Drosophila melanogaster: one gene and its partners. The protein of the gene in region 3 interacts with the protein of the main gene of each other region in a pairwise test. Each region holds a gene or a part of one and is shown on either strand. Other genes may lie near its edges. The genes, in order: CG14881, ovo, drn and CG7987.

What was found.
Region 1: the proteins of drn (region 3) and CG14881 interact in a two-hybrid assay, tested with the Drosophila melanogaster proteins (one large-scale study listed by BioGRID).
Region 2: the proteins of drn (region 3) and ovo interact in a two-hybrid assay, tested with the Drosophila melanogaster proteins (one large-scale study listed by BioGRID).
Region 4: the proteins of drn (region 3) and CG7987 interact in a two-hybrid assay, tested with the Drosophila melanogaster proteins (one large-scale study listed by BioGRID).

The regions. Positions count from the first base shown.
Region 1 is NT_033777.3:16,431,878-16,438,134, reverse strand, and holds CG14881 (uncharacterized protein), read right to left. Parts: upstream 3,237-6,257; 5' UTR 3,171-3,236; coding exon 3,062-3,170; intron 3,002-3,061; coding exon 2,834-3,001; intron 2,780-2,833; coding exon 2,568-2,779; coding exon of another isoform or gene 2,480-2,567; coding exon 2,108-2,479; 3' UTR 2,069-2,107; downstream 1-2,068. Other genes in the region: ema (endosomal maturation defective), read left to right, coding at 1-70, 136-342, 797-1,112; mRpS33 (mitochondrial ribosomal protein S33), read left to right, coding at 1,655-1,774, 1,837-2,058; Fntb (farnesyl transferase beta subunit), read right to left, coding at 3,619-3,850, 3,907-4,578, 4,641-4,897, 4,954-5,052; CG31279 (uncharacterized protein), read right to left, coding at 5,339-5,536, 5,595-6,020.
Region 2 is NC_004354.4:5,045,867-5,052,971, forward strand, and holds the start of ovo (ovo), read left to right. Parts: upstream 1-2,406; 5' UTR 2,407-3,264; coding exon 3,265-3,676; intron 3,677-7,105. UniProt on the Drosophila melanogaster protein: Transcriptional regulator with essential functions in the germline and soma. Plays an essential role in regulating the formation of apical cell extensions such as denticles and aristae, and initiating cytoskeletal remodeling during epidermal differentiation.
Region 3 is NT_033777.3:9,337,529-9,344,713, forward strand, and holds the start of drn (doctor no), read left to right. Parts: upstream 1-3,125; 5' UTR 3,126-3,241; intron 3,242-4,338; exon of another isoform or gene 4,339-4,963; intron 4,964-5,047; exon of another isoform or gene 5,048-5,366; intron 5,367-7,185.
Region 4 is NT_033777.3:14,568,950-14,579,433, forward strand, and holds CG7987 (uncharacterized protein), read right to left. Parts: upstream 6,939-10,484; 5' UTR 6,822-6,938; intron 6,111-6,821; 5' UTR 5,925-6,110; coding exon 5,599-5,924; intron 5,534-5,598; coding exon 4,777-5,533; intron 4,686-4,776; coding exon 4,261-4,685; intron 4,189-4,260; coding exon 3,474-4,188; intron 3,413-3,473; coding exon 1,784-3,412; 3' UTR 1,523-1,783; downstream 1-1,522. Other genes in the region: Cys (Cystatin-like), read right to left, coding at 221-416, 475-659; CG44094 (uncharacterized protein), read right to left, coding at 7,390-7,662.

The DNA of each region.
Region 1 (6,257 bases), 7.1 Mb from region 3:
CGGTGCTGCGTGGAAGCAATAGCGCTGGGGTTAGTCGAACCCAGATGGCCCCGAATCGATCCATCGAAGGGTAAGTTCACGTCGGTGTGTCCTCATGTTCCTCATTTCCATCCTCATCTGTGCGTCTTCCCGCAGAATTAGAAATGAAAGCGCTGGCCGCTCCCGACGCCGCAGTCCCAGCTCAACTTCGGGCTCGAATCTTAGGGCCGATCACTCGGATCGGGAGCGATCGCCCAGTGTTAGCATGGGCAGCCACAGCTCCTCGCAGTCTCGGGAAAACTCCCAGCCCAGAAGTACTGGAAATCGGTCGCGGGAGAGCAGCCCTAGAATGCCCAGGCCGCGGTAACAATGAAACATTTTCGTTAGCTCTGTAGTCTTAGAATGGTTTCTGTTATAATTGAGATTTGTAAAGTATTGCAGTATTCTAAACTAGTCTTTCTATTTTTTTTAATTGGATTACGCCCAAGACATCAAAAAGTTTATTTTATAATTTATCGAGCTGTTTACATGATTCTCGAAATTTGCTACATTTTTGGCTCCTTGGCCAAAAAAAAATCTTTAAGATTGACTAAGTTTGCTTGTAATACCACCTTGTATAATTATGTATAAAGATATCGTTTGTCCTATATTTTTATATTTATTTGCATATTATTTTGACAAATAAACAAAGAATAGCATGCCTTTAAGCCCTCCAGTTTTATCTGTCCTCGTTATTCTATGTGTTTGTTAATTATAAAATTTACTAATTTTCACCTAATCGAGTTATAAATAAATGTGTAATATTTTTTCATTCTAGGTCGGAGGAGATTCCTCTCGAGGACTTCCAGCACTCACGGAACAACAGTCCGCACTCTCGGGGAAACCCCTCGCCTGCCTCCCGCTCACACACACCCATCCGCGTGCTCCACTACGATCAGCTGTCCGGTCATAGCGGCTCACCACGTGAAGCGTCCCTGGGGGGAACTAACGCCCTGCTAAGCCAGTTAAATGGGCTGAACCGTGAAGTGCTCCCAACGCAGAGCTCCGAGGAGACTTCTTTTATTGGGAGCGACGGAAACGAGGCCACTGGCGGATCGGAGGGCAGGCGACGGGGGGCCATAGAGACGGTTTAAGATAGACTAGAAGTTTTAGTATTACATTGGAAGCAGCCTTATGCTTAGATTGTTGCTAAAATTTTGTTATTCCAGTTGACTAATAAGGTGGTACATACTCTAATTCCTTTTCATTTTAAATAAAAACTAATTTGACGAATTTGAGCTCAAGTCTATATATATATTAGTAAAGAAGTATGTTTTTTGAACCTTCGATAATGGAAGCCACAAATTATTGTTCTAAAATGTGGGTTTCTTATATTTCGCATATGTTCATTTTTATAACAAGGTTTTACTTTTAATTTTACTGAATTGTCTATAGACGCCAGTGCTGTTTTGTAGTCAGTTTTCAAGTAAATGTTCTATAATAATCTTTAAAATAACGGTCAATACAGGTTTAAAATTTGAGGAATGTCCCTATTGTCGGCCTTTTGTGTGAATGCCAACTGCACTTGGAAATCAGCTGTCGCTTGTTTTTGTTTCGTGACATAACCGCAATTTACTAAAACTTAGAAACTTAACTTAAATTATTTCATGAAAAGCATAGCAAACTAATATTAACTATGTCCCACAAGTACACGGAGCTGATTAAGGTCGGCACGCAGTATGCTCGCCGGATGAACTACCTCTCAAATCGCATTTTCGGCGAAGTGGCTCGCACCACAAACGAGAAGTCCATGAAGGTATGTTCTCGAAATAAATTTATTAATTAAAATGTAAACATGTTTTATCCGACCTTCCCCAGGTGGTTCGCATGTTCTCGGAGGAACCAATTCACAAACGGGACTACGTGATCAACTGGTATCCGCGGCACGTGGAGACGCACTTGCTGATGAAGAACCTTCGCGACTACGGACTGTTCCGCGATGAGCACCAGGACTTCAAGGAGGAGATGAAGCGTCTGCGCAAGCTGCGCGGCAAGGCGCCTCCCAAGAAGGGCGAGGGCAAGCGGGCCTCAAAGAAGTAGTAAAATAAATATTCTAACATCCACTTTTATTGAACCAAAGCTAGTCTTTTTAGTTGCGAGTCAGCAACTTGGCGCTGCCGGCGAACACCACCTCGTCGTTCTGCCTTATATCGTACTCCACGGTGGAAATCTTGCGAGATTGTAGCAGACGTACGGTCACCACGGTGTCGGTCTCAATACGACAGGGTTTCAGAAACTTGAAATTCTGCTCTAGAACCACGGTGCCCGGACCAGGGAGCTGGGTACCCATTATACCAGCCACCACCGCGTTGAGCAGGGCTCCATGGACGCGGCGCTCCTCGGTGGGCGTTTCCAGACTATGGATGTAGTTGTGGTCGCCGGTGAACTGGGCAAACTGCTCCAAATCGCTTTGGGAAAACCGCTTAACCACTTGCACCTGCTTCACTGCTTTGCTGCTCAGCTGTCGGAACGTTTGGGGAAGCCTTTTGCAGCTGGACAACCTCTGTGCGTGTTGCGAAATCTTGCAGCAGCAACTGACAAAGTTTAACGATGCGTTCATCGTGGGCCTTGACCCGCCACTCTTGCACCGTCCTTAGCACCGCAGGGCTCAGAAGTAAATCCCGTTCAGTCCGTTCACCAAATTCCAGTAATTGGTAAAAGAGCGCCAGGCTGTGAAGTACTATTTCCGGGTGATCAGTGCGCACAAAGAGGCCGGTTAGCAGTTTTAGCTGCTCTCTGATAAATTTGGCAGCCGTTTTGTCTGCAATAAGAATATGATGAACAAGGTTGGTTTGAAAATCAAATGTTTGCTTACCCAGGCAAAGGTTACACAATGCCGCAATTCCGTGCACTTTTAATAGCTGATCCTGTGTCTCCAGCGATGCCACAAATACATCCAAGGCGTCCGCCTCCAGGAGATGCGACCAGTTGATGGGATCGTATGCAAAATTGGCCAAATTAGCAGTCACCTGCTGCTGGGCCTCTAATAATGAAAATCAAAAATGAATTCACACCGGCAAAATGACGTGAATAAAAACCTTACCGATGTTGGTTGTCGTATAATACTCATCGACCAGGTGACCAATGTACTCCCGGCGGTCAATGCCCTGGGCAGGCGTCCTCCTCTTCAATGTCCTGTGGCTGGAGAACATAAAAAGGATGCGAAGGCAAAGCTGCGATTTGAAATCAGTCCCAAAATGCCATTCACAACGCAAACTATTCATGTTTTACCATTCACATATAAACGTGCTGAAATACATTGGGGGCAAAATAATAGCTTTCGGATTCAAAGCCACATTTATAAAAGTTATTTGTTTCATCTCATTTTTTTTTATAATGAGCAATTGGGTTGTTGTACAAAATCACACATGAATTTATTTGAAAACATAATAATTTTATTTCGAAATAATATATGACATAAATATTTTTTAGAAAACGTTAAACATTTTAATCAATTCCTTTTCCAATAAGTACATTTATACAAGAAGCGAAAAATACAATATTTCAAAGATTAATTTATTAAACCAAGTTTAGTTCTTTAAAGGTAAACCACCAGCAAAACGTCCTCATTACGCAGGCTCCTCCTCCTGACCTGAAGCCTTAACTCTCCTCCTTGCTGGGACTGTCTTTCCCCAAGAACTCTGTGTCATTGGAATTGCTGAAGTGGCTCCTGGCAGCTGCAACTGACTTTGGTGGGATGTTGAACAGTGGGTGGGTAGGCAGTAGCTCGTTAATGGTGTCGCCCAGGACCTGGGGGCTGCTGGCGCACTCCGAGTGCTGGGCAATGGAAACGCCACTAAGAGTATAGCATGTGTGGTAGAGATCCTGCGGTCTGAAAATATGGGTTTTACATTAAAAAACATCACAATGTTGGCATTAATCCCTTACTTTCCGGGTTTGTCGATAAGCCCGCCGCTCTGCTTTTGGCAGCAGAGCAGGATGTACTCCTGCAGGGCCTCCACATCGAAAAGGGTGTGCTCCATTTGCTTATCGACGCCGGATAGCGTTGCCTGCGTAATGGGAATGGTGGCTCCCACCCAGAAGGAGTAGCAGCCATCAACCAGTTTGTTGGTCCTCCCTTGGAAGCCGCCTTCGTAGGTCATCTGACGGCGCAGTGTCCATTTGAGCAAAGCCTGCCTGTCGCACTTATCAGCCTCGTTGAGCAGCGCCAGGCCCGCGATTCCGCAGAAGGTGTAGCCACCATGGGCCTCCAGACCAGGGGCTCCTCCAAATCCTCCCTCGTATGTCTGACACTGGGCTATCCAGTCGCCAGTGCCGGCAAATAGCTCCTTGATCACTGGCTCGGGAAGATTTAGCAGCTTTGCGCAGGAGATTGCGCAGTAGGCGCCACGCACATCCGTCTCACCATCCACGTGGAGCCGGAAGGAGCCGTCTGAGTCACGTACACTGAACAGGAACTGGACCAAAGTCGGTCGGTCTATGGCACGGTACGCCTGCTCGCTTCCGATGATGCACAGACTGTTCACTGCTGCATAGGTGGGCGCCAGATGGGCATACTGTCCAGGTCCTCCTCCAAAACCCCCAGTCGGCGAACGGCAGCTATGAAAGAGTGATTGGAGCATTAAGGATGCCTATTAGAGAAATATCCTTCAAAGACGCACTTGCTTAGAAACTGGACCACGTGGTTCAATGTCTGGTCGTCGAAGTTAAAGCTAAGTAGCTGGGCCGCCTGCAGGATCCAGTAAACGCACCACGCGCGACTGCTGTCCAGGCACTCGTAATTGGACGGCAGCCGCCTCAGCATCGCGTCCAGGTAGTACTGGTGCTCCAGCCGGAAGATCTGGGTGAGGCGCGGGTCGGTGAACATTATCTGCTCGAAGCGGTCGAAGCATTTCTCCACCGAACTCTCCGTCTTTTGCTGCAAGTATTCATCGGCTCTTATCTTTTCCTGGGCGACATTCGGGGATTACTCACTTGCTCGCGGGATGTGGTGGTGGACACCTTCTCGTCGTCGAAGATGTAGCTTTTCAGGCGCTGGAAGTTGCGGAACATCAGCTCCTCCTCGGTTCCCATTTCTACTCCGAGCCGGTTAAATTAAATTAAATAAACTAAAAAGATTTGCCGAGCAGGAATTTTAAGCGAATGGTTTTTGTTTGTGTGATGTAAATTCAACTTGCAACACTGCTTTTTATTTGATTAGGGTATTCCCTATACAAAAACTCGATTTATTTTCCTTTGGCTAGATATTAAAAAATTTTACATTTTAATAATTCATTATTTCCAACATTAAAGCCAGTAATATACAATTAAATATTTATAAAAAGACCATAAATTCACATTTAAAATTCTTAAAACTCGGTTATCGATGTGACATCAAACTTTCTGTGGTGACGAGATTGTAGGCGGTGGATTGAGAACTGGAGTCCAACATAAATGTCTCGGGTGCATCGTCACTAGTCCACAAGCCATACAGTTCCATAAATCCATAGACAAATAGACACACTATAAAATAGGCCGTCAGAGTGGCGAAAACCTGAAACACAATTAGCAATAAGATCTGCAATAATTGTATAATATAAATTTACATTGTTCGGGCACCGACATCACAAACTCACGAAAAAGCTTCCTCTGAGAATCAGGAACAGCCAGCCCTTCCAATCCAGCTTGCCGATCCACGTGATGAGGGGTTCCGATCCCGATGAGACATTTTGTGGACTGGGATCACCTATGGCACCGATTTCTCCGCCTTCCCCCCAGCTATCGCTCCTTAAAGGAAGATACCAGTCGTAATAGAGCTGCGTTAGCATGGGCACCTCAAATGGCGATTTTTTCTTGATTTTCTTCTCGATTGTGGGTTCAACTGCGACCGGCTCGGACTGACCATCCTGCAAATGCTGAAAGCAGTCGTTAAAATCGGCCAGGGTTAGCTTACGCAAATTGTCGCAATCATCTGACTTCTCATGCTTGGAATGGACAAAGTGCCTTGTTGGCCTGGTATTTTTCTTGTAAGGAAGCGCTTTGTTGGCTTTCGGCTCATGCTGCTAAACGGTAAGATTAATTTAGTATATAAAAATAATAGCTTGATAGAAATAGAAAATATAATAGAAAAAATATTACTGGCACACTCAAATCGTGTTCCAATAGGCCCCGGCGAGATTCGAACTCACGATCTCCTGTTTACTAGACAGGCGCTTTAACCAACTAAGCCACGGCGCCATATTCACGCATGTGGCACGACTTTACTTTAGTGCTTCCTCAACAAAAAATTTGTACATACG
Region 2 (7,105 bases), on a different chromosome or scaffold from region 3:
TATATATATATGGATCTGGCAAGCAGTGTCGGTCGTGGTCTATACCTTTGGTGGCCTAGGTCTGGGCCAACAACAAAAACCAGCTCGATTCTCATTGGGTTCGCAATCAAGAACTTGAGATTCGCTTTTGGTTAGAGATCTCGATCCACTATCTGAACTTTGGGCTTATATTATAGTCGCTTCAATAACCATTTTAGAATAATAAAGCTTTAAACTAAACTAGTTGCATTTTAAATTTTCGCTGAGAGTTTTAACTTACTTTTTATCTGCAAGGGTTTCAATTAGATTCTGAAAATAAATCAAAGAAAATCAATTATTATTTCGTATAGAACTATTTGCAAAAAATATATAGACATAATACAAATTCTCGCTTTCAAGAACATTCTATGTACACAATGTACATATAATCAAATCTTTTAGTACAACCAAAATCTGTGCATATTTTCGTTCTGGACCAGAACACTTGCATTTTGGCCAACGAGCGGCTTTTTGAGTGAGAGTGAAGTTGGCGCAGGAACAATGCAGCAACAACAACGCAGGGGGGGGGGATGTTCTTCAGAAGGCTCCACCGACCGAGAAGAAGAAGAGCCAACGGAAAACCTCTACTAACGCCAACATCATGACATTAACATTGCCGCTGCCTCAACGGCAAAGTCACAGTCAAAGCCAAAGTTAGCAACAGGTTTTCTGTGCCTGCCACTTCGGCCTCAGATTCTCAGAGCCGCTCTTTCTCCAATTCTCTCGCGATACACATCGATGCACGGAAATAAAATGAGTTTCAGATAATTGAATTACAAATTCTACCGATTATTTTCAATCAGAGGCCAACATTTTAAAAATGTGTTATTTCTTAAAATTTTAACTTGATATGAAATTAAAAAAAAAAAGGATTAAGTTGATCCTCAGTTTTATGTTATTATTCTATTAAGTTTTGAAGGGGCAGCGCACTAATTTCTTATGGTGCACCTCTCTCACCTGCGAACGAGGCTTCGTTTTCAGTTTCGGACGTGAGTTCGTCTTCGTTTTTACCTTCGGCTCGTTGCTCTCTCTCTCTCTACCTCCGCACACCAGCTCAAAGTTAGCTGTAAATTTGTTACGTCGCCGCAAAAGAGCGTATGCGTGCGTGTATGTATATGAGTGTGTGTGCCACACAGGTGTGCGACGCTCTGAATTCGCCGTCGCTTACATCACTTGCTCTCCATGTGTGTGTGTGTGTCGGTGAAATAACGTTAGTTATCCGTTGGCAGCGCACCTGTGCGGGTTGAAAAGAGATGGAGCTAGGCCTTCTTATTTGCCATTCTAAGCGCATTCTAAGCGATCTTCTCTCACACATACAAACGCATGCGCACAAGGATTTAGGGGAAGGAGAGAGCTGGTGAAAGAGAGAGAGAGAGAATGAGACGCACACCTGAGAGCGAGAAATGCCTGCGTTGCCAACTATTTTGCCGTTTAATTTCGCTTATATGGGTACATTTTTCCATCTTACTTGCCGCTGTTGCTTCTTCTTATTTGGCTCGTTATTTCTTCTTATTGTATTTACCGCGGTTCTCTTTCCATCGTTGTACACAAACACACTCGCACAGATATAATAATGATGAAATTCTTCAAGGGCCACAATCATGCCTCCTTTTTTGGGGTTCTTTTTATCGAAAATCAAATGACTTAGGAAACAAACTAGCCAGAATATTTAATTATAATTAGGAGGATATTTAAAAACATTATTTGCAAACTATTTCATTTAAACAAATCGTTTTAATAATTGATATCTATTGATAGGCTTAAGAACATTTAAGAAAAATATCTATTTAAATTTAGCTTTAATTCAATTATTTTAAGATGTGCTGTAAATACAAAGTCCTTAGTTCGAAAGTACAGTACAAAATTAACAAAAAATGACCGGAACATAAATATTTATATTGAAATTTTTCTAAATTTTCTATTAATTTGCCAATCCAACCAAATTCTAAGTACCACAAGTACAGCTCGCGGTATCGGGTAAAAACGATCTCAGCCGGCAAATGGCCAAGGCGAAGATTCTTGATCATGAGCGTGATCATCATTATCATCACTACCTTGACTCTGAGGAGGGAAAGAGAGGGCGCGTCAGAGAGACAGAGAGAGAGCGCGAAACTGCATGAGAAACGTTATGTGAGCGAAATGAGGCAACGCACACAAAACACTCTCACTCTCTCTCACACAGGTGCGCTTGGTTCGCCGTTTCGCCGCTGTTTTTCTCACCTGAGCAACGGCGAATATCTCGTTATTTTCTGACTCATACGAAAGGGAAGTTTCGCTCTTTCTCTCTCTCTCGATTTACGGTGTTTTAAATTCGCCGTCTAACTGAGTTTGTTGTAGCGGCGAGATCGATCGGTTGACTTTGGTTTGGCCTAACTGACTACCTCGAATACAGTAAGTTGCGAGCCGGCGTTGTGAATGCACGTGTTTTCGCTTAACTCACCTGGGCGAATCCCAAAGACCAAAGCAAACCATTAAACTCACATAAAACAATACAATTTATAAAAACGAAAACACTGTGTTGTGCATCAATCAATATAGTAATATATTGAATTACATCCATACAAAACAGAAACAAAATTTTTTTTGAGTAATATTTTTTACAAGTGCGCTGAATAACACAAATAAATCAAGAACCCAACAAGTGTTTGAAAACCCAAAAAATAAATTGGGAAAAACAAAAATTTCTCATAACCGAATATTTTTTTTTTTTGAAAACTTGGGGGAAAAATCAACACTTTTTTCGACAAGTCACCGAAAACTTAAAAAAAAATTGATTTTTCAAAAAAAGAACCAAGACTCGACACTGCCGAAAAGGCAATATTTTTCAAGTACATTTTTTCGAAGTGTTTTGACAAAACAAAGCAAAATTCTCGAACCAAAGAACAAAATCACGAAAGGACACCCCAAAACAATCCCTCAATTATAATTGACTTGACTTTGACTTGCAAAGCCGAAGAACTTTCAAAAGACATGAAGAGGGCAAAACAGAAGTTAACTTGAGCTCGGCTCATGACCAAATCAAAACTGAAATCAAGCAATTTTTTTTTTTTCAACACAGTGGACGAGCGGCGAACAAACATACACACACAATTGGATTAGTGTTTTGTTTATTTCGGACCCACTGTAACTGTCCCTCGTCCACCTGAAAATACGAAGAAATTCGTCGCCTCCTTGAATTCGTCGCGTGTCGCCGTCGCGTTTCGTTAAATCGCTTATCGTTCATCGCAAATCAACCGATAATCCATCATGCCGAAGATTTTCCTGATCAAAAATCGCCTGCATCAGCAGCAACAGCGCTTGCTTGAATCGCAAAACTTGCTGCAGCACAAGAATCAGGATGATGAGCGCTTGGTGCCGCCCCTCAGTCCAAGTGGGAGTGGTAGCGGCCCCTCGCCAACGCCCACATCCCAACCACCACCGGAACCGCAAGGTCAGGGGCAACAGGTGCTCGGACAGGTGCCCGATTCAGATCAACAGCCACTGAGCCTCACGCGCAAACGATTCCACCATCGTCGTCACTACTTCGGACAATCGCGCCACAGTCTCGATCATCTCAATCAAAATCAGAGCCCGAATCCAAATGCAAATGCAAATCCCAATCAAATACAAAATCCTGCGGAATTGGAAGTCGAATGCGCCACTGGCCAAGTTCAAAATGGTAAGTTGAACTTTTCTAAAACAGAGTCTAAAAATCTTTTCGCTGCCTTATACATAAATACACCTTTAGGAGCGATTAAATTTCCGTTTGCCAAACCGTTGTCACATAAATGCGTTCTGTTACTTGTTTGGAATACTCGAAGCACAAAATATCAAAGAACAACGCAAAGAATTTTAATTTACTTGGATAAATAATTGCTACAAATCTGTCAGTCAGTTTTTTTTTTTTTTTTTGGCCGATGGCAAATCGGCTGGCAATACAATGCGCCATATCTATTGCCTGGAAATCTTTTCAAATTTCAAGCTTCACTTTTGGGCAGCTTTTGTTATTGCTTTTCGCCCACACCATAACGAACTCGTCCCCAGTGTATCTTTGTATCTTTGTATCTATATCTGCCCTGTCTATCTTCCATTCTCCAAAACGGAGCTATGGGTTTACTTCGACATCAATCACTTTCATTGAATTTCGTAAGCGTATTATTTCGTTTTATTTATTTTTTTTTTTTATTTTGCCAAAAAAGCCAAGCAGAGTTCTCATGTCTCTGTTCTGATCTCTGTTTTCTGTTTTCAGTTTTCTTTTTATTTTCTGTCTGTTTCTGTTATATAATCGCCCAGCATGCTTATTAAGTCATTTCGATTTAGGCGGTGGTCTTAGGTTAAAGGTTTAAAATTTTCATAAATGATTAGGCGAGAAGAACTTTCTTCGTTTTCGGGGCGAGTTTTATTAATTAAGTTCTTTTCGATTTTATTTGAAAGTGAATTTCGTTCAGCGTTCTTTTGGCGTTTTTTTTCGCTAAAGTCTTTTGTTTCTAAGCATTTTTTAACTGCCCTTTGTCTGGCCTTAATTATATCTATATTTTTATGCAACCATTATGGCTCGACTTCACTTCAAGAGTAGCTTCTCTCACACGCAGCCTCATAATTTTGCCCCTTACGCAGGCATTATATTTCATGGTTATAGCTTATATATATTATTTTCACGGAGCGCGTAGTTGAGTGCTATATACAACATTTATTAAATTAAATAACATGTTACGTTCTCGGTTCCTCCCGGTTTATCGCCAAGCCAACCAAGTTCCCTTCATCATCTCTATCGCCCATCCACTTAAAAATGTATTATGAACGCTTCCGCTGTATAATTTTTATGAGTTCTGCGGATATTGTAATGGAAGTTATTTGAAGGGAAATCGTTTCGCAACGTTATATTCTCAAAGAAAAAATTTTTAAATTGGATAGAATTACACAGAAGTTGGTGAGCTCATCGGATTCGCATAACTTCATAACTAACACTTTGAAGTTTTAAGTTCCAACTTTGATCAATCTATGCAGGATTTAATATTATTTAGGTCTTGCACTCTAAACATGTGTTCTCATGCTGCTCTGATTTCAAAGAACCCTCTGGTCACACTGCTTGTTCACTTTTTTTTTTTTTTGTTCAATTACCGCTCGCTGTTCGTGTTTTTCTTGGCTTTAGTGGGCTGTGCCCATGGCCAAGAACTTCACACACTTGAGCGCACACTCACACACTAGAGCGAAGCTAGAACGAACGAAAAAAAAAAAATTATATAACTACCAAAGTACAAGGTACTAAAAGCCAGATACAAGAAAAAATCTCCTCTCAACCACGCAAAAGTACAAGTTTTGCCAGAAGATGAAGAACCAAAGCCAAAGCAAAAAGAAACGGAAAAAGAAAAAGAAAAGAGTGCGGAGCAGAAAAAGAACTTCATTTTGTTTGGTTTTGCAGCCTAGACTTGAGCTAAAGTTCCAACTACACACAATGACTAAGAAGATCATCATGACGATCATGAGAGCCAAGTTCAGTTGAGGAGGTGGAGCAGGAGAAGGTGGTTTGGGGATGAGGACGTTGGGTGGGGTGCATTGTAGGTACGTCGTCTGCCATTTGGCCTAAGCAAAGTCAAGGCAACTGGCCATAATAAAACTTGTAGAACCAGTCGAATTGAAGACTGGGGAGAAGAAACTCACCAGAAGAGGCAGGAAAGGCAAAAGAACAGAGCTTGTGAAATGCTAAAGGGCCTTGGAGGATGAACATTGCTACAGGAGAAAAAGCAAAATGCGAACCAAGATGCTCGAGAAAAGCGAACCAAACCGAACCAAAACGAACCGAACTGAACTTCATGCATATATGGACAAGAATTCCTCCTAGTTTCTTCGCCCGCCACAGCTGGAAGTTATGAGCATAACTTCCTGTTACATTTTCCTCTATCTTCAGTCAGCGATCTTTATGCCGCGAATTTCTCTCGGGCCACTAGTAAAAGTTAATAAATAACCGAAAGGAAATTCATTGATCGACCGATCGGCGATAAGGAAATTTCCAAAAATAAAGGAGAGCGATCAATGCAAATTCTGCAGCTGTTAGAACTGCAAGTTCAATTGCACACACAGAGCTTACACGCAGATGTTGCAATCCTCGAGCGGAAGTTAGCGAAAGGTTCCCTTAAAGACCTCGCGACCCTTCTCCAGAGACAAGTTCAGCGAACCCTCTCCAAACAACACTCACCATCTCAAACAAAACCAAAAAAAAAAAAAAATAAACACAGACGACGACGAGTCAAAAGCAAAAGTCAAGTGGTAAATGAGGTAAATGGTAAGGTAAATGCAAAAAGAGAAAGACAAGGGGGCAGTAGTAACAGAAAACAAAACCCAAAACCCATTACTTCATAGTGCCAGTGCTGAGATTTTCTTCGGAAATCAAATCAATTCTATTGTTTATTCAATTAAGCGCTTGATCCCCCAGACGATTCGCTCTCCGATCTTCAACTAATTGAAATCTAGATGGGCATCTACACTTGATTGCGCATATGTAAATGGAATGAATATCAACTGATGAGAGCCTTTTCTGCATTGATTAATCAAGCCTCATATGGGTAACCCTTTTCATTATCAAAAACCATATAAGAATATCAAATGCTCTGCTTAAGAAGAAAAAAACCCAGTTTAGCTACATTTAAAATGATAACAACTAAATGATAATGGCAAAACAATTAACACACAAATTTATTTGAGTAAACATACTTTTCAAATTGCATACCTTGGAAGGTAGCTCAAGTTCGCAACCTTAGTAATTTTTAATTTTGAATCGAAAGACTCAGGCGGCAAACTTGATTTCTCCAATAGGCATTTAATATGAGTTCTTTTCGCCTCGTCTTTTTTCTTCCTCTTCCCTTGGTATACGTACATATATTTTTGGCATTAGTTTTACCTGCCGAAGGACTGATAAAACAATGCACACTATGTATATGTAGGTGTGTGCGTATGGAAGTGAAACGAACTACCTGTGCCAAGGGTTTGTTTTTTTTAATCTCCCAACCAAAAACGATATTTGACAATCGGAAAGAAAGAGAAAAGCGAAAAAGGGCAAACCAGAGAATCCTGCACACCTCGATAACATTCAAAGCCGAGATTTATTTGT
Region 3 (7,185 bases):
AATCTGCAAGTTGTTGGGATTTTTGAAATTACCAAAGAATCGAAAGGGGATCCCACTATGTGCATCTGGAATTTCCTGACCGCCCATCAATCTTGGAAGCACAATTGCTGGGACTTGTTTGCTGCGTTGAGTGTCAGTGCTCTGGTCATTAACACCCGAAATTATTAGCCCCACACCGCAAAGTGGGGCATTTCAAGTACACACGGGCACAAACATTCGCCGTGGGATGTGCGGAGGCCAAACAAAGTTCAATCAACTGTTTTTGTTAATCATTCCATGGATGACGACAACTCCGGCGATTTCGTAGTACTATCCACATACGCATTTGTATGCGTGCTTCTATTTGCTTGGTGGTGTCGGTGATAAACCCCAAGCTCGAGCTTTCCCACCCTATGTGTCACACACATTTTCCTATGCTGAATATTTTCTAAGAGCATTCTGCTTTCCTCATTCAAGTGGGGTAATTTGAACAATTGCATTTGGAATTCAGCTGGAAAACAAACTACGTCATCGAGTGGCGATTCTTTGTGGCCTTTGTGTGCTTATCTTATTCTTAGGGCTGAAACGTTTATCTTTTTTGATTGCCATCTTGTGCAATTAAAAAATGAACCAACGACAACAATACTTATAGTAAAATATAATAACATAGTAAGAATCCCTTTTCAGTTTATATAAATTAAACAAAAAGCTTAAATTTGATTACATTTGGATTAGATGAACTTTAAATGATATATTTAGATAGTCAATATTTTAGAAAACGAATTAGTTAACGTTTTTGGAAGTGCCATTGGAGTACACAGTACTCTTGCTTAAAATATCCACCCATGGTCCTTTGTCTCTCATCTCTGAATGCCGTTGTTTCTGTTGTTGGTAGAACGCAATTTGTTGCATGCGCCGCTGCCTTATCCAGCAACAACCAAGCTACGCAGCAACAACAACCCCGTGTAAGCCAGGCCAACAATAACAAATCATCTCGGAAAGGGGGCGGGGATGGGGACGATGGAGGGTGGGCCGTTAGCAATGTTTCATTGTTTACTGCATTTTTCGATTTGGCTTGCTACGCATTAAAGTTCAGCAAATTGCGTTGTCTCCGAGTCCAGTGTTAGCCTTCCTTCTCTGTTCACGTGAATTGCTCATCATCATCATTTAATATATTTTTTACGCGAAATTTAGTTACGATCATGTTTATACGTTACCATATACGAAAGTTAGTATGCTCCAACTGAAAGTTATCTTATAGAAAATATAAATATTTTGGAGTACAGAAACTATACAATAAAATATGAAATCCTATCAGCTCCAATACTTTGTAACAATATTAATTTAAGATACCCTATCTCGCAAACGCAGTTAAGTAATTGCCCGATTCGCAATCACTCACACAGCTGTTGATCGCGAGGAACTGTAAGTGCACCTGTCTCTCTCACCAGCAGGTTGAATGCACCACAGCGAAATGGTATAAGCGAATGCGAGAAAGAGAGGTAGCTACAGGGGGCGATAGTGTGCCAAAAATACACCAAGCTTGTCTGCTCCCTCATTCTATGGTTGTCCTTTTAGCCCTCTTTCTCTGCTCCTTCTCCTTTTCGACTGCACAATGCACTTCTTTTTCTTCTTCCGCAACCTTGTGCGTGTGCCCACATGTTTACATAAAGTGCAACTGTGTGCACGAAAAACGTTTCACCCTCTATTTGTAGCTCCAATTGTATCAGCATAATTATAGACACTGTGACAAATAAGTAATATGTTTTACCAAAAATTGCTAAAATTAAAGGTAAATGAAGAGTTATGTAGATAGTTGCTTCTTTTTATTAAGCAATAAAAAGGGAATTATTATGTACGTTTATATACTGCAAGTCTCGCTAAATTCTGCTACAATGTACATACATACATACAAATCTATACAAATCTATTACCCAAATCAGAGCATTTAAATAGATAAGCGCAGAGAATTTCGTATGGATTGGAGGTCTAAACGAATTTCTGTATTGCTCGTGGAGGGCAGACAGTGAACATTTGTAAGGCGCACCTTGTTATCAATCACCTTTTTTACGCATTGTTTGAGGCCCCTTTGTATCTCCGCCTCGTCTTGGTTTCTCTTACAACTGCGTCGTTTTAACTTCATGGGGCAAGCTACGGGGTATACGTATAAATACATACACATGTATGTATGTGTATGTACATACTCTATAAGGTTTGTGGCTAATACGTGATGGTAAACAAACTGCAATGCAATGGCCAAATGCGTTTCGGATTCACCACGACTGTTAGACACCCCCAACTCTGTTATCTCCGCCTGCAGGGCAATATTTTCGTTTTCCACCTCACGCGCGGTTGTTATTGCTGAAAACAGGAAATAATTTTCGTTTTCTATAGAAAACACTGCTGGCAGCCGTCGCTGTTGCGTGTCTGATATTTTATTTTTAACGCTCAGCGACTTTATACTACGTAGTATTTAGTATCGCTCGCTTTTAAGTTTGCCTTTGTACGTCTCGCATAATTTTGGAGCTTTTCTGCTTGCAACCTTGCCTTTAAGTTTACAAAGTTCGTTAGCACTAGCGTATTTTTACTGTCTGTTCATTTAAATTGTTATTATTTTTGGTTGGTTTTTTTTCTTTATTGCTTTTTATTTTGGCTTGTTTGTCATCACAACAAGGCTAGTGCAGAACCAATTTCGTAGGCAGGTGCGACCTTTGATAGCTGAAATATTTGTCGAGAAACTTTACAAACTGGTATCTATCTACGGATCGTAAGTGATATTTTATATTATTTATATGAACACGATCTCATTGGAGCCTATGACCTCTAATTAAGCGAATTCTTAGCCCCACTCTGACTTTTTAATTTGCTTTTGATTTTACATTTGCTTTGCGAGTGATCGCAACAAAATAACATTTCGATGTGAAAGCGTGGTCGGATTGACGATACCCTCTAATATATATTTAATAAATGTATGCATGAATTTATTGAAAATAATATTTCCTAAATTGTATTTAACATTCTAAGTATTATTTATTAGATATATACAAAATAGACAAAAAGAATGTAATGAGCAAAAACTGGGCAATCATATTTTCAGTGCTGTATAATTTTTATTAGCACTGCATTTCAGAGCTAATCAACACTAAGCTTTTGTGCTTCATTCCATTCTCAGTAAGGACAAAACACGAAATTAGACTACAAATGTTCTGAAACATCAGTAATGAAATTGGACAAAGTGCACCTCAAAACGGACATTCTCTTGGTAAGGGTGATTTGGAAAACCAAATTTCAGGCCTGTTAAACTGCGGCAAATACTCACCACGGCCAGCCAACAGCCATTTCACAATATGGCACTGTTATCAAAAAGATTACTATTGGGGAAGACAAAGCAATCGCCATACGCTAGGCGATTTCTACATTAATACTTTTGTTTCCCGTTCGGTGAACGCATAGAAATTGATATTAAAATTATTTTTTTTAAAAAGTGCGCAGTTTGCATTGATGACGCAGCAGCGCAGTTTCGCTCTCTGCGGCTGTTAACACGCTGTAGCTCTCTTTGGGCTGGCGAACAATATGGCGTCGTCGAAATTATGTCGTCGCCCAATTTAAAGTCATACGAAAAACCATAAAGATTATTAAAAGCGCGTTTGAAGGTTTCTTGAAACGCCCAGTAAGCGGAAATAGTTTTGGTTTGTTGGCAGGGACTCGATATAAATTTGACTCTCTATCGTTGCATTGGTCTTTTGTCTCTTGTCTCCCTCTGTTCCCCTTCCACAATCTTATTGTGTGTGCACTTTGCACTGTTGGGCTAACATAGCGTGGTGTTTTTCGTTGGAAATACGCATTTTCGACCATCTTTGCTCGGTTCACATTTAATTTATTTCCTACATGGCTTCTCTCCGTTGACTGGCGATTTCTTTTTAGCCTGTCATCCTTCATTCCCCTTTCCTAACCACTTTCTCACCACACCAGCAATCAACGCTCTTTTTGCGTTAACAGCGCTCGTTTGGGCTAGAGATGAGACCATGAGTTTATGTTACGTCGTGTCACGATAAGAATTTTATTTTACATACATTTCGGTCCAATTTGCGTTTGATTTTATTGTCAAGAGGAGAAAATACAAATTGAAAATAATTTTAAACAAACATTGTATTCGATTTTATATAAATAAGTGTTTCTTTTATAGCTAATGTATTGAAAATAATAATCATTTCGATCATTTCAATCCTACATACTCCTGGTATTGTTAACTGCTTTCAACCGGAGAAGTTGAGTGACAGACTCACGCTCTCATCACCAAATTGCCACCAACAGAGCTCTGTTAGCTCGCCAGTCGCAGTCATCAAGCGTTGCGAGGTCCGCTCATTTCTGTTAGAGTGCTTGGAGACTTCACTTCGCGTTTGGAGGATCAGATCCACGTTGGTTTTTGGCTTCAATTACCCACAACTGTCATCGTCAGCCCAGTCAGCGCCTTGCTAACTAAACTAGATAATAAAGTAATCACTTTTCCGCGCTCCCCTCCCTCTCTCTCGGTCGTGTTAGTGCGCTCCGCGATTAATAAGAAACGAGTTAAAAAGGAAAGCAAAAGGAAAACTGGCAGCGTTTTCCTCTTGCAGCTGAGAAAAACCGCAGGACGCAGCTCAGCAGCAGCGTCGCAGTCGTGTGCGTTGTGCATAAGAAAAAAGAAGAAAAAAAATCCTGTAATATTGCAGAAAAAACCGTAATTCGCCACTTGAAACGAAGGAAAAACGAGGAAAAGCAACTGCGTCGTGCACCATTTTGTGATATATTTTTGCCCTCCTCCTTCTTCAACGATCCCTGTGCAATTCTCTGTTAAAGAAAAAATTAAAATAATTACTAGCAACCAATTGAATTTCTGCGAGACCAACATAACACATAAAAATTTCCAACTACTGTGATTTGAACAAAGCTCTAAGTTTTTGATTCAAGCCTGTGTAATTTCCACCCACAACGAATTGAAAAAGTAAGTGAATTCAAATGAGAAAAAGAAAATTATAATTTATTTCATTTTCCTCTTCGCTCGCCTACGTTGCTTACTCACCACTAGTCGATTCCCCACGCTCTCTCTCTCTTCACCACAGTCACCAATACACACGGGCTCGCCTACGTCACTTTGTCGTGTGTGTGCTTAGACTAGCGTTGCCATGTCGCGCGAATTACGAAGACAGGAACAATAAATAAATAGCAGTTAAATAAATAGTAGAAAATGCCATACAAAATATATGGGAATTGACTTTAAATTACATTTTTGAGTTTTCAAAATAAAAACTAAATTTTAAATACTTAAATTATAAAAAAATTAATTAAAAAATGAAATAGTTTCCACATTTCTTGAAGAATATACTGTTAACAGCAGTTAACGAAGTGTAAGCAGAAGGAACAAGTACAATGTTATGCATTAAGAATATGAATCCCTAATCTCATTTCATTCAGTGCAGCTGTTCAAGTTTTTTCTATAGTTCTTTGCCAAGAAAATATTACGACTTGCCAAAAACCAAAACCCCAACCACAAAATGTAGACTTTGAAGCGAAGGACGTCTCTGCTGATAAGTGAAAAATAAATGACTGATAGCTCAAGTACAAACATGCACATAGTGATATGCGTATATACATGTGCGTGCATTTGTGTGTATATACCCTTCAGCTATCTCCAAATTTAAATAACATTTTCCTCTTTATCGCAGTGACCGAAGAAATATCTTTATCTGCACACTCCACAATTTTAATATTATTTTTGCCTGCAGTGCGTGACTTGAATTTTTTGCTCACTCACTCTTTCGTATGACTCATAGACCCGCATAAAAGCAAGACGAGTTCGAATTATCTACGGATTTGGGATTACGGTTCTTATCGGCGAGTGCATAGGGGGTTCTGGCTGCGATGGCAACCCTGATTGTTGGACAGTCGCCCAGCTGACTTTGTTTTTCCAACTTTTCTTGGTGACTCACTTGCCTTTTTGCTGTTTTTCTTTTTCGTTAACTCCAGCTCACCTTGTAACAATTATAAAAAGTACATATTTGCTCGTGTTTTTTTTTTCGGTATAAGTTTTTTTCCTTTGCATTCGTATTTTTCTGTGCTGACGCTTTACATAAAGAATTATCTCGTTTTTTCGTATCACCTAGAGGCACGTTTTCTGGCATATGCACATTTTGATTATAGTCGGCAATCAAGCACTTTTAGTGACGGAATTAAACGAAATGACGACTTTCTTGAAATTTCTGCCGTCTATTTCGCCATTTCCAGTCGAATTTTCGTCGAGATAACAGTGAAAAAAAGATAGGAAACGAATCAAGCGCTAATTATTTGTGATTGGTTCGGTAAACAAAAATGTTTTTGAGTGAATCAGAAAGAGCGAGTCAAATAGTCGATGATATCGAGTAGGAAACACTTGAACAAATTTAAGCACTTTTCAAGGTGGATTCCTCTAAGTTTGGCAACGTAAAATTTGGTTTTTCTACGCCGAATTAAAAACTTTAAGTAAAAATCTTGTTAAATGGAATTGTTAATACAACAAATTCTAAATTGGAATTGTTCTTAAGCAGCGATTATTTTAATTGATTTGTTTTTTTTTTTATCAAAGTTCATAGATTGAAATAGTATTTGCTTATCACGCTAGTGATTCATGGATCGATATTGTTTGTCACGATTGTTTGAGAACTTTCCCGATCCCGGATGACTAATCCCCTTGTTGGCAAAAATCGCTTATAATTCTTGGCAAGTTGAGCAACAACAACACGTGTCGTTGTCGCTAATATCTAAAATTATATAAATATGTATGTTCTCGCGAAAAACACACAAAAAGCAGCGCGTTCGTTCAAACAAGTTTTGGTCGTTTGAAAAACAAAAACAATTTGTTTTGATGACGGCTCGTTTCGAATTGTGTTAATATACATAAAAACAAACAAATTATACCAACACTCTCATGTATGTATCGTATATAAAACCAGCCCTGCCTTTCATTTCCCTCGTCGTTTTATTCTACCTTTACTTTTTGTTGTGGCTAAATGGTTTTATATAAACAAGTAAAAATTGATAAGCGAACGAGACCGTTGGACGCGTGAACGGCCGCGGCCTCATTTTCAGTTGTTTTCTTTGGTTATAGGTCGCGTGTAAATGGATGCCGCACACCCGTGCACCCGTACACCGCCCAAAAAACCCGATGCCGACCATCCACCCACCATATGG
Region 4 (10,484 bases), 5.2 Mb from region 3:
AGTATGTGTGTAATTGCCTAGCGATGGGAATTGGTTAGCACGGAACGTAAACAAAGCAAATCAAGTATTTATACACTCCTATTATTTTTCCCAACAATATATTGGATACTTTGCAACAATAGTTCCCCGAAAATTAATCAAAAATCATTTTTTAAATCACGTGTATCTTGTTTTTTTTTTTATTATTATTTCTTTCAGGGCAATTCTCACGAAGAATCTTCTACCAGGTGCGGTCCAGTTCGCCATCGTCACCAGAGCACTTGATCTTGATGTTGGTGCCGTTCTCCTTGAGCCATGGCTGAGTCCAGATCTTCACGGTGCACTGCTTTTTGTCGGATCCATTGTCAAGTTCCACCTCGTAGGTGTTAAGACTTCCAGCTACGACCTGACCCGTCACAGAGGTCACATTGATTGCCCTAAGATCAGCAGATCAATTAGTATGAATTTTAAATTCGGAACTCAGTTCTAACTCACTTGTAGCTGGGACCATCTCCGGTGGCCAACTGTGCGAGAGTGGCATCCAGAAGTTCCAGAGCCTCCTTCCTGCTGTTTCCCTCCAACTGGCTGACACCGCCTACCACCTGCTCATCGGCTGCTTGGGTGGCAATCAAGCTGACGAGAACCAGACCCAAAATACACAAAGATTTTACTACGTTCATGTTGCTCGCTCGACGACTCTGAGAGAACTGATGAACACCCGGCGATGTGGCCCATTTTATACCTGCCATCTCAGTGGGAGATCAACAATGGAAAAATACAATAGGCTCTCTATGCCATCGATCCAAGACTTGACTGGCCCATCATCAGAACTATCAATAACCAGAACCTCACTCGGGGTTTACAATATTTAAGAAAATTGCTTAGAAAGGCAAAATAAGTGAAAAAATAGTTTTAAGATTCGAAATATTTTTTTTTAGAACATAAACTACGGTATCTACGTGTCCTGATATTTTCGCAGCTACTATCCAAATATTTATAGTCAATATTCAAATATTTATAGTCAATATTCAAAGGTGCGCCCCCTTTAAATAAGAATCTATTTCCATGATTAATAAATATGCATATGCAAATGAAATCGTTTACTTATATTCTAATACGGCTCATTGGCGGTAATTAATTGATTTATCAGATGGGCGAAAGCCGCTTTTCTGTGAGAATCGTTTTGATCTCTACTTCAGTTAGCAGTTGCGGCTTTAATTGAAAATCTGTGCAAATGAGCCGAAAACAAGTCACCGTACACCACATATGAAAACATATAATCATGGCTTCAAATTACACACAGACTTCCGGTATGCTCTTATCAGTGTTTCTATGAGTATGTACTACAAAGGTCAGTCGATATGTATTAAGACCCACATGTGCAAGTTTATAAACATTTAACCAATTATAAAAAGTATATTACATGCCACTATCGCAGTTTCCAAGAAAATTTAAGATTTCTAGGAGAGATTTCAAACATCAGAAAAGGTTACATGAGCCCATCTTATCAATCAGATTCAATCTATACGTGATAGCAAAATTTAAGGTAATGAAAAACCATTTAATGATGTATTTATTCCAGCATACCAATTCTTCAAAACAAAAGCTGAGGTACAAACTTAAAAGCCTTACGAACTATTCTCTCTATAATAGGTTTAGGTTCCATATTTTAAATAACGCATAAATCAACGATATTTTTCGATGCACGATACCTTGAGGTAATTTACTCCGATTTTGTTTGTATATAAGGATAAGATGTTTCAAAAATACAAGGCTCCGGGCGAGTGGTTTAGGTAGCTTCCATTTAAATGTGAATGTGCACATGTTCCAGCAGCTGGGTGCGATCATAAAAGATGGCCGAGCACATTTCGCACTCGAAACTGCGAGTTTTCCGCTCCGATTTACCAGCTGCCGCCGCTTTAGCAGCCGCATCCGCGGCGTCAGCTGCGGAAACGACCTCCGAGATGGAAAAGAATCCGCTGCCCACATCGCCGTTGTTGGCACTGGCAGGTACGTTTACATTGTAGGAATCCACCCCGTACGAGAGGTACGAGGATGAGCTGCTGCTGCTCACCTTGGTGGCAGTGTTCGATTTTTTGGCCACCACTCCCGGGGATGCCGACGTCTTGCTGGCTACGCCACCTGTTGTTCTCTTGCTGCCTGCCCGTGCACCATTGGCAGTGATTTGTCGCAGATGTCTGGAAGTTCTAGCAGATGAAGAGGACGAAGGAGTGCTGCCGCTATGAGCGATGACTCTTTGCTGACCCTCCAACATTTCCCGCAGATCCGGAGAAGTTGGTTCAATTTTTATAAGGTTTTGCTCCTCTTCGTGCAAATATTGTGGCGTGGTGGATGACTCGCTGGTAAAGCGAAGACGAGAATTTCTCTCGTGCTTCAGTGGAGAGCGGAGGATCTCCTCCAGATCATTAACAATGCTCGGATTAAACTTCTCATAAGTCTTCTCCCTGAGCAGAGCAGCATCTATCAGTAGGTTATCATCGTACATAAGTTGAACACGCTGTTGTTGTTCCTGCTCCTGTTTGATGTGCAAGGGACTGGAGCTGATCTGATTTGGCGGATGAGTAGCTGGAGAAATGATTTCATAGTCATCCACCATATTTGAGGCACTGCTGCGGGATTTGTCGAGGCTCAGATTGTGCGACTCCGTGCGACTTATATAGGTCTTCGAGCGCGTTTTCTTTGCCGAACTACTAGTGGAGTCTCCGCCAACTCCTTTTGTCACCTTGGCTTTCTCTGTGTGAATCATTCGAGGTCGCGAATTACTGGCAGGAGGTGCTTTGCTGGCTGTTTTAGTGGTTGCTGCCCTCTTGCGGCTCCGAGTGCTGGCAGTGGAGGTGGAGGCGGAGAATGTAGTGTCAGATGTGGTAGCTGAGCTATTCAAATTTTCGGCTCCTTCTACAGACTTCGCCTGAACTTTTCCCTGCTGCTTCGATCCACCTCTTGTGTTGGGTATGTTAGCAGACACAGCGGAGCTAGCAGGCTGCAAATGAGTGTCGTTGACCACTACCAGCGAATCGATCTGAAACAGAGCCACTTGACTGTCGTGCAGGAACTTTTCCTCCCAAAGGCGATCCGATTGCTGACTGCTGGTGGAATCATATCTTGGCTTAGCTTTGCCCTTATCTTGGGCAGGTTTTGCCGCTTTCCCATTGGTCACGGGTTTGGCATCAGCTTTTGTGGCTGCCGAGCCCCTCTTTCGCTTTTCTTTTTTGGGTGATTCGGCCATGTCGAAGATATCGTCCACGTTCTCCACATCAAAGTCGCAGAAATCGATGTCACTGGCACACTCCTCTGCATCGCCTTCTCCTATGGCCTCTTCCTCATCACCGTTGACATGCTTGTTCGCCGCCCGCATGTGAGCGATCTCGTGAGGCTGTAGCTTACGGCGACGCTTGTACTTGCGCGGTCCCGTCTAAAAAACAATTCAATTCTTTTAATTTATCAAGTCTCTCGAAACAAAGGATTTTACTTACAACGGGCTGTCGCTGCTTAGCTGTGTTTGAATCACTGTGTTGGATCAGGTGCTGAATAAGGTCATTGGACGATGCCAGGTCTTCGGAACAGACTGTGCAGTGATAGGTGTTCCGCGCTACATCCAGCCCAGAATGATGGGAGCGAATGTGTTCCCGCAGCACTACCCGTTGGTTAAAGGCGCGTGGGCAGACGGAGCAGGCATATGGCTTCTCGCCGGTGTGGATTCTCTCGTGCTTCCGCAGAGTACCACCATCCGCGAAAGCCTTCCAGCAGTAGCGGCAGCCATATGGCCGCTCACCGGTGTGGATCCGTACGTGAATCTGCTGGGAACTGCGCGAACCAAATGTCTTGCCGCATTCGAGGCACGGAAAAAGCTTGCCAGGCGTAGTAGTGCTGTGCGAGTGTCGATGGTTGGAGAGCGTACGACCGTCGGGGAATTCTTCCTGGCACACCTCGCATACAACCGACTTGTCCCGATGCGAAGCCATGTGCCGCTTTAGACGCGCTTTGTTGTGGAAGTTCTTTCCGCACTTGGAGCACGAATGGCACTTCTCGCGCGAATGGTCCCAGGCGTGCTTTATCAGAGCCTTGCGATCGCGGCACTCTTTGCCGCACAGAACGCAGGAATTGGCATTCAATTCACTGGGATGGCGAGTGTGCAGGTGACGCTTAATCGCCTGCTCCTCGTAAAAGCTAATGCCGCATAGGACGCACCTGAAGTTATTCAAAATGAGCCTTTAAAATGCGGTTTTCTGCTCGTGATCAAGTTCATTTGACCGAACTTACTTGAAGGGCGGGAACCTAGCATGGATTTCTGCATGGGCGAGCATCTCTAAAGCGCTAGGAAAGGACTTTCCGCAAGTGTTGCAACAGTGACCAGAAGAATCTTTGGCAAGCTCCACGTCTCCGCCAGCAGTGACATCGGAATTGCTACCAACAGCTGCCTGATCCGATGGCTTACAGTGCATCTTGGCATGACGTCGCAGTAGATCCTGGCGATGAAAAGAGATCCCACATTCGTTGCAATAGAATTCGCCATACAACTGCTCGTCTGCCTCCGATTCACTGCCGCTCTCCTCCGCTGAGGCAGGATCGTACTCCGAGTTGCTCTCCTCGAACTGATGAGTCTTCTGGTGCTCCTGCAAGCTGCTGTTGTCCCAGAACATCTCCTGACACTGGTTGCATTCGAACGGTGAGTCCACGCGGTGATTCTAACGAAGAAAAAAAGGAATAATTAGTGGATGATTTTGTCAATGAACTGGTTAAGCTGGTTTTAGGGAAAAATTTCGAGTTGAGTATTACCTTGGTGTGTGAAACTAGTGCCTTTTCCCGCGCAAAGGCCAATCCGCATTGCTGACACACAAAAGGTTTGCTGTGATCCAGCACCGGAAAGTTTGGCTGAGGAGGCGGTTCGACAGCAATAAACTCCGACGTGGTAACCACAGGCTGAGCCGGCTCAGGCTCCATGTATGGCCTAGAGTCCTCCACCGACTTGTCGGAAATCACAATGAACTGGCTGCTTTCTTCCTTGGGCTTCAACCGACTGATTCTGCCTCGCGACGGAGCTGCTGGTTGAGCTACCGTGTCTGGGTAACTGGCCACCAGCTGAATCCCGCCCTCTTCCACAATCTGATGCTGTTGATGGACATTCTGTTGCGCGTTTTCCTGCTCCTGTTGATGTTGGAAGAGTGGCCATTCCTGCTCGTAGTAGTGATCGTCCAGTTGCCGCTGCGTCTGATGCTCGAATTTAATGGCAGAAGACGAATCGGCTGCCGCCGCTGCTGCCTCGGCATCGGCGGCATCCTGGGCCTCTGCGTGGGCCTTGAAGTGACTAATGAGCTCTGCTCGTCGTGAGAATCGCGCTCCACACAGCTTGCAGAGGTGCGGTCGATCATTTTGGTGGGCCAGCATATGGTTATTCAAGGTGGCCTTCTTGCGAAAGCGCCGACTGCAAAAGTCGCAGGGATAGGGCCTCAGCGCAGTGTACTCATCCTGCTCCATGTCCAGCAGTTCCTGTGAGCTGCTAATCCCAGCTATCTGCTCGGCAGCAATCTCCACTCTGAAAATCGGGAAAGAAAATCAATAGGAAAAACTTCAAAAGATGCATAGTAGGGCAAAACTTACCGCTCGGCGCCTTGGTGCTGCACCCAGTCGTCTGTGATTACCTCCTCGGTGACCACCTGGGCGTCATCGTCGAAGGATTCCGCATAGGCCACCGTGGTGCCGTCGGCGGTGACCAGGACCGTTCTACCAGCTTCGTTGGCAGCCATTATCTCACTTAGCTGACCGTCGCGGGCCATGAATATAAGATTCTCGGCCGCCACATGGTCCAGATCCTCACCCGAGGCCCCTGCTCCACCATCCGACTCCAGGATGTCCACCTCGGAGGAGTCGCCCGCGGAAACGTGGTGCTGTATCCACTGGATGCCGCCATATCGCTGGTTGTTCATCACTCGCTAGCCCTGCAAAATATGCAGTTCTCTCACTTCGTTGCACACATAAACAAACGGGAGGCACAAAAATATCCGTTGCGAGCAACAATCGGTGGCACATGTGCTCAAAAAGGCCGAAGACGGTGGGAGAGGGAGAGCGACTACGGCGTTGCCAGATCTTTGGTCGATGACATTCAATAGTTACTTTAAAAAAAAAATAGCTAGATAATAAAATATAATGAATTGCAAAATACAAATTAACTGAACTACTGGTCAGAAGAATGCTTGTATTAATATTACACATAGTACATAGTTTTGACTTAGATTAAATTTTGTATATTGAATTGTTGGAAATAACTATTCTTTTGTATCTTTAAAAAAAGAAAATTATTCAAATTAAACGGATGTATCTGAGACTGCTAACAATTTTAATGACATGTTAAGTGTTAGCACATAAAATAAAATATTTTGAATCTAGCATTTTCGTTCTTGAAAATTTGCACACCACTGATTTCCAACCGCCGCACACACTAGTCATCTCGCTTCCACTCACGGCACTCGCCTATCCTGACAGCAATGTTCGTGTCTAAGCTTTTTTACATGCAAAATATTCCAACTTATAAACACCAATTTGGACCATAAATGAGGTTAAGTCGGCGTTTTTATTTATATTCCAGACCGCAAGCTTGGCGTAAACGTAAACAAAGAGCTGGCCAATTAATTTATATGAAAAAAAGCCACAGACGGTAACAGCCATTGCGGCCACGCTATTACATCACACATCACACGCCCAAAATTCTTGCACAGCCGATACTTTGGAATATTTTATTTTTAATTTTCAGCCGAGTTTGTCGGTGTCATTTTGAGGTTAAATAGGTCTACCGTCCACTAAGTACTGTTGCTGCGTTGTTTTACCTTAAATCCAGTGTTTATGCCGTTCGCATGCTTCGTCTTTAACGTTTTTAAATGCGGCGAAAAGTTTTCTCGCAAAATGTTCACGAACGACCGGAGAAAGAGGAATTGCCATTGCGTTGCCCGTTCTTGTTCTTCTTCCCACTGCTATTCTCGGCTCGGTGGGGGCTGCCACCTGCCGACGGCGATGCCACATCCAATAAAATAGTTCAATGTTAACGGCAAAAAGTGCTGTAAAGTAGCGGTTGTAAAATATAGCGTCTATTCATTGGATTTCAAATTTGCTATAGATTTTCTTAATACTAATTTGTTGATAAACACGTGTTGAAAAACAAAAGGCTGAACAAGAAATCAAGAATAAGTAATATATTGATGAATCCTTTAAGTTCATTAGAAAATCACTTCCTTTACAGTTTGAAAACGAGTTTTGTTCAGACGCTTTTGGAAACCACTTGAAATATTTTTAATACTGTTTTGTATTATAAGCCGCCCTTTAACACAAACAAGTTCCTGATGCGGAAGCAAATTTATTTATTTCTTTTACTTTCTTTAAAATGTAATTTCTTATATCTCAGAACCAACTTTTACTTCTGACTCGTGTGAGAAAACTGCTGAAGAAGTTGCGAATCCTGCCGATTCGGGACCTCTTGGTGGTGGCTACGATCAGTGGCGCTGCAGTTGTAGTTGGCGCCCAAAATCTCTGCAAGCACTCAATGTGAGTGGGGTAAACCCGACAGTCTATGCAGCTGGCATCTGTGGGGGCAAGATCACAGGTCACGGCCGAAATACCGTCTTGGAAATAGAATAAGACCAAAAACAGCAAAATAAACTTAATCGAGACCATTTTGGACTACAACAGATATGTGACTAAATCATATTCGTATAAATTCAAAAATTTGTGGTTGGAGTCAAGCCAATGCAAAGATTTGCTCAGGTGTTTTGCGGAGTGAACTAATATTTAAATTCGCGTAAATGCGTAGAGGTGGGCATTTTATTTTTAACCCTATAGGAAAAAAGTATTTAGCCTGGGTTAACTGGACATGATAGTAAAGTTAATTTACTTAAACAAGAGGGAAAGCTACCCTTAGATACCCATAACTCAGCTAATCGGCTAGATCCCGCCAGATGTCGCCCCAGATCCTGCACCTGCAAGATCCCGTTAGAGATTTGTTCATATATAAATTTCGATATTTCCATTCCCTCTCCAAAAGAGAAAGCACTCTCTCTTTTTCGACTTTCTCTCTTACCCCCGCAATTTAAAGAGCACACTATTTACCCACACATATGCAAACGAGCGCCAAAGCGCGCCAAACTTTTCCACCCCTCCCCCAGCCCAGTGTTGTTGTTGTTGTTGTTGTTTCCCGATTGCTCTGCTTTTATTTTTATTGCTCCGCTGGGCAGAGCAGAAACAGAAACGCAGGCAGCCAACGAGCAGCGGCTATTTAATTTTCGTTTTGGCTTTGGCGTGGATCGGATCGGATCGGTTGGCCATAGTCTCCCCGAATATACAAGCCAATATACGTGTGTATTTTATACTGTGCCGAGTGCAGCGGAAAAACTGAACCAAAAAAAAGTCGAGAAAAGTGCTCGTGACTGGAATTCCGTATTTGTTTACCATTGTGTGTTTGTGTTTCCATTGCTATTTGTGTTTCTGTTGCTCTGGAAAAGGGAAAACAATCGAGATTGGATCAACAAGATTAGCGCGCCACCTAGCGGTCGGATTGGGTGAGTTTTAATGGGATTTGTTTTTCTTAGTTTTTTTTTTTTTTTGTAATGAAATCCCATTGCATTGCATTGCAAAAATCAACTGAAACTGAAAACAAGTGAAAAGTAACCGCCGTCCTTTCGACAGGCGGCGACGACATAAAATGTCAAACTGTCGATCAACATCAAGGCGAAATATGCAAGATGCGTGTCTTAAATGCAAAGAGGGCTTTTCATAATGCTACATGCTAAATGCTGTTGCAAATGGTCGTCATTTATGCAATCTGCGGGATCCCCCACACTCCCTCGCCCCCTTTTTTAATCTCGCTGCTGATCTGCGGGCTACGCGTTTTGCATGCCTGCTCTTCTCCGGAATGCGTTTAATTCGAATTTGAATTTCAGCGCTTGTGTGAAATGCACTAAAGAAAATACGGGAATACCATTAAGATATCTTGACTTAATATACCAGTTTTCATATCTATATGGTGGCAATTATTCTTGGTTTAGTAATGAAAGCAATCTCATATGTTTCACTTTCTTAATGTTATTAAAATAAATACTAAGGGTAACTATTTTGGTATGGAAAAGTAAGGAAATTACGTTTAGAATAACAAATTTTTAAGCTAAGATAAAATTCATGAAAAACCAAACATAGCACGCATTTTCTCCCAGTGCCTGCTTATTCTTCTCGAGGCTGCTGGTGTTTCGCTTGTTTTTACAACGCAAAACACTTGTCCGTCGGAATCCCAGTCGTTGGGAAGAAATCAAAGCTCGCAACTTTAATTAATATTCCACACACTGCCCCACACACATGCACCGCACACACGCACACACACTCACACACACACTCGTACCGAAGCAAATGTTGTTGTTTTGGTGCTGACCAGTAATTGTTGATGCATAGATATTTTTATTGCATTTCACTGCTTTTATTTCTTGGTCATTTTGTATTTCGGTACCGATCGCATAAGTTATTATATCGCTTGTTGGCTTGGCACACGACACGTTCGGGATTAAAGTTGCCTCTTTGCGGAGAGCAATCCGTTAAGGTAATCCGTCAAATCGGTGTGAATACTGTTCAGAACGTGAATAAATTTGGGCTATTTTCGTCAGGAATTTATGCAAAATCAATTGAGATTTTACGATTTATGTGACTCGAAATTAAAGACGTTGTCTGGTACTTGAAAGTGTGTTTTTTTATATTTTATATTGTAAAAATACAATTGGTTAGTGTGTTAGTTATTACCAAGAAAAATATAAATAATTGTATTAAATACAATTTGCATTTTCCCTAATGAATGCTTTATAAATTATTTGAAAAGCCATGCAAATATCAAAAGATTCGCCTGACAAGAGCTGTTCTAATATTGTCAATAAGCCAATCAATTTTCCCCTGTCAATTCTACCATTAATTCAAGCATTTCTCCCAACTGAGCAGCTGACTTTCTCTGTGCCAAATTCCTTGGCCGCTTATCAGTGGCCCGTTCATTTGCACTGCTCGCTTATAAATGCCATCTGTTTGAATTCCTCGCCAGCGCGAATGCCATTAATTCGACTATTCAACACCACCTGAATGGCACACACACATGAAAAGCCCAGCCCAGATGTTTCAAATAGAGGGGGTTATGCGTAGATAAAATCGACAAGTGTAGGCAAAAATAATTGGGGTTTTTCGAATGCTAATGCAACAGGTTGCAAGAGATGTGCCGACGACAGACTGCTGACAAATGAAAAACAATTGAACTAAATTTTAATTGTTGGCCATATTCATTGTCGCAGTTGGGCATAGGAAAATGTATTCATTTAACGATCCCATCGAGGTCTTTATGCGCTTGTCAACAATTTTGTATTTATGTGCTGTAAGTGGCCAAAAAGCGTAGCTCGTAAAACGTGCGTGCCAGCGCCACTGAGTCGGTGGTTTCGATGGTTTCGGTGGTTTCAGCGGTTTCGGTGGTGCTCCTG